Alligator mississippiensis: one gene and its partner. The protein of the gene in region 1 interacts with the protein of each later gene in a pairwise test. Links are inferred from orthologs where the notes say so. Each region holds a gene or a part of one and is shown on either strand. Other genes may lie near its edges.

Region 1 (7,118 bases):
GATTCCCAGGAGATGGGTTCTCAGAACCGTGGGAGATCAGATCCGGCCGTTCAAGCTGTGTCATGCTGAGTGTCTGAAATCAGCAGCTGCTTCTGAAAGTCTTGGCCATCTGTTTCTGTGGGTAGACCGAGGCTCTGTAGGAAATGGGGAAGTGAGAAGCAGCTTATCACCCAAGTGGAACGTACCAACAAGGGAGACATTTTCTACCTCTTCTGGGGAAAACTGGTACAATAGGAGCTTGCTCAGAGGACTTGTGCAGCTAGGTTAGCTCATTATCATCATCATTTGGGCAGGGGGCTGGACTCGATGATCTTCCGAGGTCCCTTCCAGCCCTAATGTCTATGAAATTATTGCTGGTTGGGGATCTTCTGGGGCTATCACAGATCCTGCCTTGTAAGAGTCCAGGTGTAACTAAACAGCAGTAGCAATACATTTCTCAAGTAAACTTGCCCTGTGCTGAGCCCTCTTCTCACTTGCTGGCTCTGCTGTTTATGATCTCAGTTCTCTGTGTGGCATTTAGTAGACTAGCACCTTATAAATAACAGGTCACTTCACTTTGGCATTTGATTAGCATTTTCTAGATCCCAAAACACAATGACTTCAGCAACCAGGGGGACTATAGATGCAATGACAGGCAGGTCAAGTAGGGCAAAAATTGTGTCTGCTGGGAAGATCATTGGTTCTAAATTAACTATTGTCCTGGATTCCCCAGTGCTTCCTGCATAGCCTTGCATTGCAACACTTCAACAGTAAACCAGATTACGATATGACTCATCCACTTCCCATTCTGCTTCCGTTGGAACTCGGGACTCTTATTTCTCAGAGGCTTCATCTCTGCTGTGAAATGGGATTGCAAGGAGCAGCTGATTCAATTAAAGCATTTCCGTCTGCAGAGGCAGGTGAGTTAAGTGTCTGCAGGACAAGGAAAGTCAGGTGAGGAAGATGATGCTCTTTGATCCTTTATATTCTCTCTAAAATGACTCAGGGTGAAATCCAGTCCAGAAGTCAGACCATAGGCTAAGTGAGTGGGACACTGGGAACTCTGATCCCTGCCTAGCTGTCTGCTATGAACCTCTTTCACAGTGGGGGATGGATTCATTCCTGTTTCCCCCATGCCTTGCTGAAAGCTGTGAAATGGTCTCACTGTGGGAGGGCTGGGAAGGGGTGTGGCTAGGGTGGCCATCATAGAGGACAGTCTGGTTGCCAGTCTTCAAGAGAAAAATAGAGGACAAAGGTGTCCAGTTTCATATCAATAGAGGACAGAGTAGCAGAAAACAAATTTGAAAGCAGCTGAAATTCATTTCAGAGTGTCCTCTATAATGGGCACCCTAGGTGTGGCATGAGCTTTCTCATCTCTTCACAAGAGGTATTTCTCTAGCAAAGGGGATTTAGGATCCAGATGGCTTGTGGCCTAAAACAGTTTTTTTAAAAGAAATTTTTCATGTTCCAAGCCAAATCAAGTCCAAATCTGTGAGTCAGTCCAGAACTGTAAGTGGCCCTACACCCAGCAAACATCCTCCACCCCGCCTGGAGCTTCAGATATTTCCAAAGTCTTTTGGCTATCACCCTATGTGCAGGCCCAAGCCCGGAGGCCTGGCGTTCGGATGCCCCCAAGTTTTGCCTGCCCGCAGCCATATGGCCGCAGCAGCAAGGTAGGGAGCAGCCTCCCATTTCCATAAAGTGGGCATTAAGCCCCAACACCTCGTGGGTACAAAACCACGCCAGAAGAACAGTTCTCTCGGGGAATACTTAAGGAAAACTGCCTTCCTGGACCAGATACACAGCGTTTCCTCTGCCAGGTAAGTATTAGGCTTGCGGCCTAAAACACACAAAGGTAGAAGGATGCGCAGTCACATGGGAAACATGAGTATGCACACACGCAGCCTCCACGGGGCCTGTCCTGGAACCTCTCCCCGTTCCCAGTGAAAGCACACGCTGCTCCTGTTACCAAAAGGGACCGATCCACCAGCGACTGCAGGTGTGCAGAGCCCCGCACAGCTGTGGCCAGGGTGCGAAAGTGCCGGCTGCCCCTTGAAGTGTGTCCTGGTTGCCTTTCCCCACCAGAGCTCTGCGGCTGTGGCTCCTGCATGGGTGGGGTGGGTGCTGCTGGTGTCCCTCCTGGGGTGGCACATGAATGAAGCGCAGGCTGTGGGTGGGTGACAGCCAGCGTGGGGCACCCTCAGGCACTGGCTGTTGGCCATCTCCCCTACCCCCGGGGGGGGCCGGCTGCCACCTCCCCGGGGCCTCTCTCTGCAGGCCGGCTGTAGAGGGGCGGGAGAAGCGGGCGGCCCCACGCGGGGAGTCACGGGGCGGCGCGGGCGGCGGGCGGAGCCGCCCCGAGTCGGGAGGCGGAGGGTCCCCGCGCGGCAGCATGGAGGTCCCCGCTGTGAACCTCAAGGTGCGGGCGAGGGCAGGGCGAGGGGGGACGGGACGGGACGGCACCTCCCGGCGGGCGGGCGGGCGAGCGAGCGGAGAGCGCCGCCTGCTTCCAGCCCGGACTTCACCCCTCCGGCGCCGCTCCCTGCGGCTGCCACGGGAGGTCCTCCCTGCGGAGGGTGGGGGGCAGCGGTGGGCGCAAGTGGAGATGAGGACAGGGCAGGAGGAGCGCAGTGGTTTCACACAGTCCAGCCTTCAGACTTGCTTTCTTCTTCAGGCCCTTGGTGCTTGCAGGACTCTTGGCTGCGGTCCAGGCCTCCTCCCCCTGCACCCCTGATGCTCAGCGATGAGTGGGGTGCTGGGGCCCTGGGTGCTGGGGGGCGAGCGCGGGAGCCAGGGACTTCCTGAAACGCTTGTCACGCTTCTGTCACGTGCGTGTTTCTGCCCCTGCGCTGCAGAACATCAGGAAACAGGCAAACTTCCTACCGGGGGGGAACAGGCAGCATTTCAAATGCATTCTTGCAACATGAACCCTGTTAGTTATTAACCTAGTCCTGCCACAGATGCTACTTTCAGGCCCGGCGTTAAGAGCCTGGAGGCTGTGAGACGCAGCGGATGGTTTGTTTTGCTTCCTAACAGAGCTGCCCTTTGCCAAGCTCAACCTTTGCCAAGTTTTCAGATAGGGTGGTGCTGGGCAAGGCTTGTCTCTGAGGAAGGTCACCATGCCCCGCTAGATTTTGATCACTAAACCTTGGTGCGTGTGATATTTTTTAACCTGCAGGGTTTGAAGCCCCTGCTGAAAAGCTGCGGGCCAGGGCTGTGCAGAAAAAGAGGCTCCCTCAAGTGTAAGTGCGAATCAACACCTTAGTGAGAAGCGTGTCCTTCCTAGGAGAGGGGAGATGAAAAAAAGGCTTGAGTGCTCTTGAACTGGCTTCTGACTGAGTTTGTCTGGCGTCCAGGCACCTGGCTGGGGGGCTGGAGCTCCGCATGAGGGTTGTCTGCGTTTGTGGAGGTGTTTTTGCAGAGTAACTCCAAAACAATTGTGCCGCCTCACCTCACGCGCCCAATTCCTTTTGGATCAGCTCAGCTGCTTGGTGCCGGTTGCGCAGCATCCTGGGTAGGTGCCACAGGCGACCAGGCTCTCTGCACGCAGGGTTGTTCCTTGTGTGTTGCTGTTGGGACTGGCAAACACCCAGGGTTGCTGTTCCCCCTCTCTTGCTTCCCGTGCAGTTTTGCAAGCTAGCGTCGTGTTTGAACTGCTGGCAGTCAGCGTGCAGGGGATGCTGCTGCGCCCCACAACCCTAGCAGTCCTTAATATGCAGAGGCTACTGCAGCTATGTTTGCCATTGCAAGAGTGGGCGACTGTGGGTGCCAGTGCTGCTCCCCTGAGCTGGGTGAAGGTCTGAAAGTGGATTAGCCACTAGATGAACTTTTCCTGGATTGGTTTTACTCTGTGGAGCTCCAATTCTCTGCTCAGGGGAGCTCACACTACCTAATAGGAACGGATGGCAGTGCAGACTGCGGATGGGCAACAGCTGTAGCAGATCATTGGCTGATGTGTTTGCAAGAAGAGCAACCCCAAGCCACATCAGGGGCACAGCTGCCTGTGGGTCCCCCTTCATGTGGAGAAGCACAGGCCCATTGCCATCTGGAAGTCTGCCGCCCTCAGCACTCCAGACAGCAGCTCACCAGTTTGGGGCTGGTCATTCAGTGCTCAAGGGTGCTGTTGCCATGGAAATGTGTTGCTATAGAGGATGCTGGTGCTTGCAATATGCTACATTGTCAGAGCCTCAGTGGGGAGGATGTCTTATTCCCCTGCTTTGAGGTGAAGCACTGGGAATTTGCAATAAAGAAGGCCCTCAGGAGAGGGCACCTACAAGGATTTCAAGGAGCGGACCCTTTGGCCATAATAGCCTTGCTCCTCACCGAGCTGCGTACATGGCAGCAGCTTTTGCATTCTGCTGGTTTAAAGGTTGCATCACTGCTTTCAGTACACCCCAGCAAAAGAGCATGGAGCTTCGTTTTTCCAAACAGTCAAGATGTGGAATAGATGCCTCCCGGTGCCCGTTGTCTGTGGGTGTGTGCTGCTCTGGTGGCAGACTGCTATAGACACAAAATCCCTGCATGGGCCTGCCAGGGGGTGCGGGTGCAGAGTCCCCATGCTCATGGTGTCTTGGTGGAGTCGCGAGGAGAGGGCCCCTGGCTGGAACCGCCGAGTGCCCCTTACGTTTCAGGGCAAAGCTACGTGGGGTTGTGGACTGGGCAGGAACGCTGCATCAAGTGTTGTCCAGCCACTGGTTCTGCATGTCCTTGCTTGACTGCTGTCCCTGCGCCCTCTCCAAGGAAGCCTTCCCCCCTCTCCTGTCATCCTTATACAGCATTTCATCTCTGCTTTCTGTCTTCTCTCGACCTGGGGCCATGCCAGGTGCTGTGAGACCAAGGAATCACGGTCAGGATGTCCTTGTGTGAGTTGGGTCAGCAGTGATATAGGAGTTGTTCTTGTGCCAATTCCGGTCTCTGCAGCAACTAAGATAAGATGTTGCTGACACCTCAGTTTGGGAAGGCCACTGGCCAGGTCTCGTCTCAGGCTGGGCTGAGCTTGGAGGAGTGAGATGTCTCCCCTCTGCCCTTCTGCTGGCTTAAAACTCCTTGGGTTGGAGGTTTGGGGGCAGCAAGGGAGAAGGGTGGCTCAGAAAGGCAGTTGTAGCATTGCTGTGTTTCCTGCTGCTCAGCCAACTCAGAGAAGTCCCAGCCTCTGAGCTGCTCGGGGGGTGGGGGCACCCAGGCTGTCATGAGAGAGCACGTGGCCCTGTGTTGTTGGGGCCAACATGGTGCATGCTCTCAGCTGAAAAGTCTCCCTTGTGACCTGAACGGATCAGCCCAAAACAGGATATGAAGGCTTGCACTGTCATTGTCCTGAATCTAAACAGTTAACAATGCTGAGTTTGCTTAAAATCAGCTACATGCCTTCTAATCTCTCCACAGTTTGCAGCGTCTCACTTTGGGTAATAGGCAGACAAGGTTCTTTGGGTGAATCTGATATCTTTTATTAGACCAACTTAAATAGTTGAAAAAAAAATTACATTCATCCCCCACTTCCCCTGCCTCTCTCACCCACTGACTCCTCAATTTACATCTTCACTAACTGCCTGTCTTGCATGCAGGCCAGCCCAGCCTCTGGCTTCTTTACTATTCATTCCATCCAGGAAGAGCACACACTAACTGCAGAGGCTTCCTCAGCCTGACAAAGGGTTTTTAAACCCAAAAGCTTGCTAAAAAAATTATTTTCCAACTATTTAAGTTGGTCTTATAAAAGATATCAGATTTACCCAAACAACTTTGTCTGCCTGTGTCTTTAGACCAACACAGCTACAACCTACACCCCTGTCACTTTTGGTAAGGCAGCTCACAAATCGAGGTGGATAAGGCAGCATGGGAGAGGAGCAGGGTGGCTTCCAGTGGCAGGGAAGGTCATTCACAGTACGCTTACAGTAGGCTTGCTTGGCCTGCTTTTTTCGTGAGCTAACTTGTCCCCCACAGATCAGAATCCAGCTGGCCAAGGCAGCCAGATGATTCCAAGGAAGAATTGTCTGCCGGAGGTGAAGAACTTAGAGACAGGTTCACTTGAGTCCCTTTCCCGTGAGAGTTGAGCCCTTTTGTGTTTGTACGGGAACAAGGACATCATCAGAAATGTTCCCATCTCAAGAGGTTACAATTTGACTAGAACAAAATAAACCAAGTAGGAAGGGAAATACAGTCCCCCACGTAGCACACAGGGACCCAGGTTCAGAGGGAGTAAGTTGTTTGTCCGAGGCCACGTGCAGAAAAGAATGGTGGAACCAGGAATTGACCACAGACCAGGCTGGCTTCCAGGTCAGTGGTTTGTACATGCCCATCCTTCCCCTCCACCTGGGACCCTTACAAGGGCAGGTGGAGGGAGACATGTTCATAAAAAGCCTCCCTACCCATGATATCTCTCTCAGATCTCACTTGGGGCTCACTAAAGCTGTTCCTTTCTGTAGAGGAAGAAATTTCAGTGCTTCTCAAATCTGGGATTAAATCCTTGAGGAAAAAGAAAGGAAGCCAGTCCCTCCCACTTCTCTCAGCGGGAGTCTGTCTGCAAAACAACTTGCTTTATGTGGCAAGGCGAAAATCGCTCTGAAAAGCATATTCCTTCCATCCCGTGATGTCTGCGGCTCTGTTCTGAGCTGCACTGAGACCACTGCATAGTTCCCTGAGTCCCAGGATAGCTGTCTGGTAACTTGGGCTAGGAACGAGGAAGAAGATGATCCTCTCTTGCATTCAGTCCCAGTGTACCACTGCTATGACCCTCTTTCATCCCCATGGCAAAGCCTGCGCTGTAACTTAATGACTGCAATATTGGTATAGACAGTTATAAAAAAAAAAAATCAAACCCTGTCTAATTATGCTAACCGATGAGCCGTCAGGGGGTCCAGCTAGTATGTAATGTGCAATTAAATACTATCTCATTAATAATTTCCCCAATATCGTGCAGTCTCTTGAGCCAAAGCTATTTGCATTTCTCCATTTCAGACGGGAACATCCTGCATTTCACTGATTAGCAGCAGCTGTCTGGTCTCTGGGGCAGGATGCTGGTGGTGGAAGTAAGCGTTTTGTAGCCGTTCAGGAACCATTAAAAAAAATACTAAAACCTTTTTAAACAGCTTTTGAAGTCACAAAAAAATCCAAGCTATCTGGGACTTGCAGGCAGTCCCAGCTGT
Region 2 (7,118 bases), about 43 Mb from region 1:
CAGCTCTCCTCAATGGACTTCTGCTCTGCTTTGGCATCGTCCTCGTCGGGCGAGCTGGTGGCTCGGTCAATCATCTGGGGGCGGGGATGGGAGAAGGAAGGTATGCAAGTGTATTGCTGCTCCTGCCAGCTATTATTATCCAAATGACTAAACCCACCTCAGCAGCTAAAGCATCCGTCCTACCAGAAACTAGTCGGTCTACAGACATTTTCCATGCTAGTGTTTATTGTAGTACTGGAGGTTTCAAGACAGAAAGCAGCAGTATTGGAGGTGTCCTCACACTCCACAAGCCTCACATCCGCTATGGAGAGAGCCTCAAAGCTTGTGGAGGGTGCAACAAAGGCTAAAATCCTCCAGGATTCATTGGTACTGTTCTCAAAATGCCTCAGATTGGGATTCATGCTTGTCTCCATGGATCAGCTCTGCTGCCTTAAGAAAGTCACAGAGTTTGCTAGGTCTTATTCAAGCTGTAAAGAGTAGGACTTTCCCCCACGGAGCCTCTCGTGTGTGCACAACACAGGCAACCCACTCAGACACCTGCCCTTCCTTCAAATGAAGGGCTCTGGCACCCCATATCGTCAAAGCCAGGAAGGTAGAAGGGGATGCCCAAGGATCATTGTCTCTAACAGAAAGACATATTGCCACAACAAGCAACATCTGGAGATGCTCTAGCCCCCCAGGGCTGAGCAAGATCCTCTCAATAGCTTCCCACAAAGCAATGCCCATCCCCCAGAGGGACACCCATTGGCTTTGGTGATCCTTGGCATGCCGGGACTCTACAGGCTCAGGTCAGACTGTTTGAGGGAGACCAAGAGCCGCTGGAAAGAGAATCTGACTTGCCAAACTGCCCTGAGGTCCAGAAGTTGGCATGGCAGCACAGGGTACCAAGCATGGCAGCAGCCCACAGCTCTGAACACAGCGGTGTGGTCTAGCCCAGCAGTGTTACAGCCTTGAATGGGTCACCTGCTCTGCTCCCCTGGTGTGGTGGGGGAGGTTTGGGGAAAGATGCACTGGAAGATCTCACCCCTTTGCAGCTTGGAGCCATAGCTCTCATTGCTGGTAAGAGGCAGCTACTCCCAGCCCAGGCCCAAGCCCCAGATTGACAATACCCAAGACCCGACTTGCCGATGCCATTCCAGAGGGAAGCAGCCAGCCTTACCCGTTTCACCACCAGAGTCGCAATGGCCAGCACAGCAGCACCGCTCACCCCCAGCACCAGCCTGGTGTTGGCCAAGAGGAAGTCGATGACACTGCCCAGCCCACGGTCGTCCTGCCTCTTCCCCTGCTTGTGTATAAACTCAGCCATATTCTACTCTGCAGAGAGGAGAGAAACGTGCAAGACAATGAGCTGCTGCTGAGTCCCACGGGCCTGTGGGACCATTCAAGGACACTGGCAATCACGGACATCTTCCCAATTCTTTCAAGGGGTGTGGTGAACACGTACTGCTAGACTGGACAAGTGAATAGAAGCGTGTAGGTTGCAAGCCCTGCGGGGAACAAAGCAGACCCAGAAAAGCCATCTCTGGGGCATGGACAGATCCAACACTTACCCTAGTATAACCCACTGTAGAGGACAAATGACAACTCCTTGAACTGGAATAACATCATCCAACCTGATGGAGGATGACCCCTGGAAGAGTCAAGCCAAGAGCAAGCTACACCAGTTTAGAGTTTGTCTGAGTCTGTCCACAACTAGCCATTTGCTAGAGATTTCAAACGGGCTAGCACTGAGGACCTGTAGCAGTCATCTACTGCATGGGCCACCCTGAGATAACCGCATGTCTGTCTGCTCCTGAGCCTGGTATAATGTGCTTCAGTCCATAAGTGGACATGCATTACACCTAACCTTAGGCCTGTTAGTTCCTCATACTCCCTTTCTTGGCTCTACATCATTCCACCTCCATCACCAGCCACTCCCCACCCCCCCCACACACACACTCTTCCTTCCTGCCTTCTTAGACTCAGTCTCTCCCACTCCCCTTCATGCCTCCACAACCAACATACCGTTTGCTATGACAGCCCTACTTATCAACACTACAGACACTGTAAAAAGATATATTACAACAGGAACACCAAGGCCTTCACAGGTTACTGAATCCATGCACCTGGTAGTGCAACAGCAGGAAAGGGGCACAAAGAGGAGGGCAGGGAGCAGATTCAGGCCGACCTGGACAGGTTGGATCAATGGGCAGAGAGAAATAGGATGCAATTTAATAAAGATAAATGTAAGGTACTCCACCTGGGAAGGAGGAACCCCCGGCACACCTATAGGTTGGGGAGTGTCCTTCTCAGCAGCTGGGAGGCAGAGAGGGATCTTGGAGTCATAATTGACTCCAAGTGTAACGAGGCCATCAACAAGGCCAATTGCACCTTGTCTTGCATTAGCAGGTGCATGACTAATAGATCAAAGGAGGTGATGCTCCTCCTCTATGCGACACTGGTCAGGCCGCAGTTGGAGTACTGTGTCCAGTTTTGGGCGCCGCACTTCAAGAGGGACACGGGGAATCTCGAGAGGGTCCAAAGGAGGGCCACTCGCATGATTAGTGGCCTTCGGGAAAGACCCTGGGGGGGAGGTTGAGAGAGCCGAATCTCTTCAGCCTTCACAAGAGACGGCTGAGGGGAGATCTTGTGGCCGCCTATAAATTTATTAGGGGAGGTCAACGGGGAATAGGTGATGCACTGTTTACTAGGGCACCCCAGGGACTGACTAGGAATAACAGGTGTAAACTAGTTGAGAGTGGATTTAGGTTAGATATTAGGAAGAAATTTTTCACAGTAAAGGTGGCCAGGATCTCCAAGAGAGGTGGTGCCATCACCTAGCTTGGAAGGCTTCAAGAGGAGGCTAGATAGTCATCTGGATGGGGCCATCTGACCTCGGTCCTCTTTCCTGCCTGGACAGGGGGTCGGACACGATGATCCATTGTGGTCTCTTCCGACTCTGCAATCTATGAAAGATACATCTTCCTCAGTTCTCTAAGGAAAGAGAGGTATCTAGTGCAACCGGATTTTCAGACTCTCATTGCTGCGAATTAACTGAATTCAAGACAGGGTTCAGCTCCAGCTCTCAGATAAGAGCTTGGCCTGTCTGTGGTAGTAAAGTGGGATGTCGGGAGTCCAGGCTCCAACATAGCCCAGGCACTTGTGAGTCAGTGGGACAAGTCACAGCCCTTGCGAGCACTTCCTTGTTTTGCAGAAGAGACAAACATGCAATAGTCCGGGGAAGGTGGAATATTTATGAACTGTAGACAAGGTGCTGGGTAAATACGGAGTATCATTAGCCATCAACAACCACAGCGTACACGGCCTTCCTTTAAGATCGGTGTGGAGATTGTGAAACTTCAATGCGGGGCAAGGTCCGTTCCAGATCATTTGTGTAGGCATCTTACTTCCTGCAGCCAGCAAAGCAAGCCAGGCCCCGGGCTCTACAGGCAGCATCAAGTGGCAGTTTGTTCTAACCCCCAAAGCCCCTTCTCCACGGCAGTCCTCTCCTTTCCCAGTTGTAGGGGCAGAGCACAGCGTTTCTACCCCCCAGCCCAGAGCCACTTCAGGTCCCTCTGCGAATGTCACAGCTCGAGCCCCGACAGGGTTGGAAACCTTAGGAATGACTCACAGATGCAGCATGGGAGTCACCCCCCAAATATGACTCCGCTTTGCTTGCAAGCAATGTCGCCATGGGAAGAGAAAAGCTGCAAACAACAGTGGAGGTGGGGATTAGAGGGTATTAGGAGCTCAGTGCCAGATTCCTGTTGGTTTGGGGCAGTTTGCCTATTATAGCCAAGACAGGTGCCCTGGTACCATGTACGCCTTGCAGCTAAGCAGCAACCCAGCGCCGAGCAGGCCTGTGCTGGGTGCATCTCTGAAACAGCCTGGAAGCTGGAACGCACAGCAGCGGAAAGCTCGTGAGGCCCCAGAAGGGCAAAAACACTAGATCCCAGGATCAACAGGGCTCTGAAAAGCTATCACTCCTTGAGGTGTGCTCATTAAGGGACAGAAACTAGCCCCTTCCAGGACGGGTCTCTTATACGAGCGGACGCCCCGACCAGGATGGTGCTGCGGCATGTGTTCACAGCAGTGCCCTGCACCAGGCCCAGGGCCTCCCCCGACTGCAGGAAGGAGGCTCGACCCCAGGCCGGGCACAGCCGCACGGACTGATGTTTCCATGCAGAGCAAGCCAGCGGGCAGGGCAGGAGCAGGCGGGGGAGGCCGACCGGCTCAGGGAAGCAAGAAGCAACTGCTTCCCCCCATTTCCGCTCCGAGCAGGGGCAGTACTGGAGCTCCCTCCTTCCCCGCCTGACCTCAGCTCCGGGCCGGAGCGGAGGGGACGCGGAGCCCAGTCCCGCCCGGGGAAGGGAAGGGACGGGACGGCCTCCCCACTGAAGACCAAGGGCTCAGCCCAACCCTCGAGTCACCATCCCCACCCGCGGGCCGCCCCGGCCGCACTCACCTTCCCTCTGAGCCCCGGCAGGGCCCGTCCACGGGACAAACCAGCACCTCCACAGCACGACCCCGGCGCTGGCAACAATGTAGCGGCGGCAGCCAATGAGCGAGCGCGGCCGCGTTGCAACGTTCCGGAATGGAACGTGCGTCACAAAGGGGGCAGGAACCCGGCGGCTCCTGGCCTTAAAGCCGCAGCGCCCCTATTTCAGCGGGAGGAGCGGCGCGGGTTGCTCGCTGTGCTCGGCGCTGTCTGGCGGCGGATCGGGATCGGGGTCGGGATCTCGCCCCTCCAGCCCCGGCGCGGAACGAAAGCCTCCAGCCCCGGCGCGCGGGTCCGCACCGAGACGCGGCGGCGAAGGGGTTAAGGGCGGGCGGGCCCCGCTTCCTGCGGGCGACGGCTGTCGCGGGCCGGCGGAGCCATGGCGGCCACGGGCGTGCTCCCCTTCATCCGCGGCGTGGATCTCAGCGGCAACGACTTCAAGGTACCGCGGCGCTCATCCTCCCTCGCGGCTGCCCTGCCTGCCATCGAGGGCCGAGCCCAGCCGGTGCCCGTCACGGTGCGATGAGCAGGCCGGCGGGGGAGGACCCACCCGGGTGCTATATTTGGGTGCCGGAGGGTGAGGTCAGGCCGGACTCTCCCCTGGCTCGTCCCCCTGCGCAGCTGGTGCCTCCCCGGCCAAGGGAGCGGGGCGAGACCCAGGTCCCACAGCAGTGCCACCGCGCTGGGGTCTGCGGGGGTGGGTGCAGGGTGGCTGTGCCCTGCAGCTGCTGGGACTGGGGGCCTCGGGCTGTCCCCGCCACACCCGCAGACCTGGTCCGGACGGGGAGCGGAAGGGTTGGGATGGGCCACCGTGCCACCCTGCCACCCCCACCTCTCCTTCTGGGGCGTCCGGAGGCGGGCGAGTCTCTTCCATCTGAAAAGCCATCTCCCTTGTGACCCTGGAGGGTGTGCAGGCCTGGCTGTGTCCTTTGCCATCCCGGATGGGGCTGGCCGTTCTCCTGGGATGCATTTTTGGGGCCGGCATCATCTCTGGGACGAGTTTCATATGACTTTTGCCTCTTCCCGGACTGAGTGCTGCTGTGCTGGGTGTCGCTTCCCCATGATTATCCTCCTTGGGCACGCAGCACCCAGTGGGAGGGTGTACGTGGCTCCTGGTCCGTCCTGCTGTCTCCTGGGGGCACACGGAGCAGTGCTGGGGTGGGCAGGAGGAACCGGGATGGATGCTTTGTGTAGGGCACTGGACTCACCTGCGTGCCCCCTCCCAGTCCTGTGTCTCCGGGAGCTGCAGGCCGTGCCCCAGCAGCTGAGAGCCCTAGAAGGGAAGGCAGCTACTGCCAGACCTGGGCTGCTTAGCTGGGCAGGATGACGCACGGCTCTGCTGGTTCAAGGCACAGGGAGCCCTGCTTCTGTGGCCGACAAGGCCCCGTGCACAGGTGGAGCTGCCTGCAGCCTTGTCTATGTGGGCAAGACCCCTGGTCAGCCTCACAACAGCGAGAGGGCCGGGTTGGGGCACTCACCTTCATGCAGGAGGCTATCCTGGGCAGACGAGGGATCTGGGACCCACTCCTCTGCCACAAATGCTTCCTCGCATCTCTCCCAGGGCGGCTATTTCCCAGAGCACGTGAAATGTATGACCAGCCTGCGATGGCTGAAGCTGAACCGCACGGGCCTGTGCTACCTCCCGGAGGAGCTCTCTGCACTCCAGAAGCTGGTAAGGACGGTGCCTGGATGCCGGGCACGCTCCCACAGGGTGGCTCCCCTTAGGGCTGGCGGTGCAGGGAGCTTCGAGTAAGGACAGGAGCTTGAGACACGGGCATTTGAGAGCCAAGGCATGGGCCTGGCAGAAGGTGAGTGGGAAGGCAGGTGGGAGGCAGTGGGGGCTGCCCGATCAGTGTCCTGGCATGTGCACACACGTGTGCACAACCGCCCCTTTGCTTTCCAGTGTCAGCTGAGAGGGGGGCCACCCAGCCAAGTTGGGCCCCTGGCACTGACACAGCTCACCCAGCTGGTGCCTGGGGCAGCACCATAAGGCTGGCAAAAGGGCTGGCCAGGAGGAGCCAGCACCTGCTCCTATGCTGATGGCAGGATCTGACCCCAGCTGCAGCTGCAGCTGTGAAAGGTGCCTGGGACCTGACCCAGGCTCACCGGAGCATGTGGGTTGACTTTCGAGGGGGCTTCTTCGGAGCTGATGGTGTGCAAGTCTCACTGTGTCCCTGGCTCTTCTCACTGCCTCTCTGGCTTCCACACAGGAGCACCTGTCTGTGAGCCACAACAGCCTGACCACACTGCATGGAGAGCTCTCTGGCCTCCCCTGCCTTCGGGTAAGTGCCCTTTGTGCCCCAACGCCCCCCGTGCAGGCGCTAGGGGCTTGGTGTCCAGCTACGTGGGCAGCCTCACCTTCGGCCATGCACAAGCCCCTTCAGCACAGCCAGGACTAGGGAGCTCGCTGGCCTGGTCTGCAGTGACATCCAGCAGGTGCCACGCAGCAGGGAAAGGTGGAGCTGAGTGTCCCAGGCCCCCGGCTGGGCTGAGGCTGGACCAGGCCACTGTGCCCACGTGCGGTGCTGTCTTGGATCGGTTCCCTGCTGGAGAAGCTGAATCCCTCGCTCCATGAAGATGCTTGTGGGGGCGTAGGGCTATAATCCTCAGCCCTCACCTTTCTTGGCATCTTGCTGAGCAG

Evidence for each region. The genes of interacting proteins can lie anywhere in the genome.
Region 2: the proteins of AGTRAP (region 1) and MIEF2 interact in binary tests that used the Homo sapiens proteins (3 or more experiments, as listed by UniProt). The two-hybrid records come from large-scale screens. The link is inferred for Alligator mississippiensis from reciprocal best matches to the Homo sapiens genes AGTRAP and MIEF2.

What each region holds. Positions count from the first base shown.
Region 1 is NC_081836.1:12,389,187-12,396,304, forward strand, and holds the start of AGTRAP (type-1 angiotensin II receptor-associated protein), read left to right. Parts: upstream 1-2,314; 5' UTR 2,315-2,371; coding exon 2,372-2,398; intron 2,399-7,118. UniProt on the Homo sapiens protein: Appears to be a negative regulator of type-1 angiotensin II receptor-mediated signaling by regulating receptor internalization as well as mechanism of receptor desensitization such as phosphorylation.
Region 2 is NC_081836.1:55,064,308-55,071,425, reverse strand, and holds the start of MIEF2 (mitochondrial dynamics protein MID49), read right to left. Parts: upstream 4,558-7,118; 5' UTR 4,445-4,557; intron 4,401-4,444; exon of another isoform or gene 2,817-4,400; intron 1,315-2,816; 5' UTR 1,307-1,314; coding exon 1,160-1,306; intron 75-1,159; coding exon 1-74. Other genes in the region: FLII (protein flightless-1 homolog), read left to right, coding at 4,857-4,919, 6,039-6,149, 6,688-6,759. UniProt on the Homo sapiens protein: Mitochondrial outer membrane protein involved in the regulation of mitochondrial organization.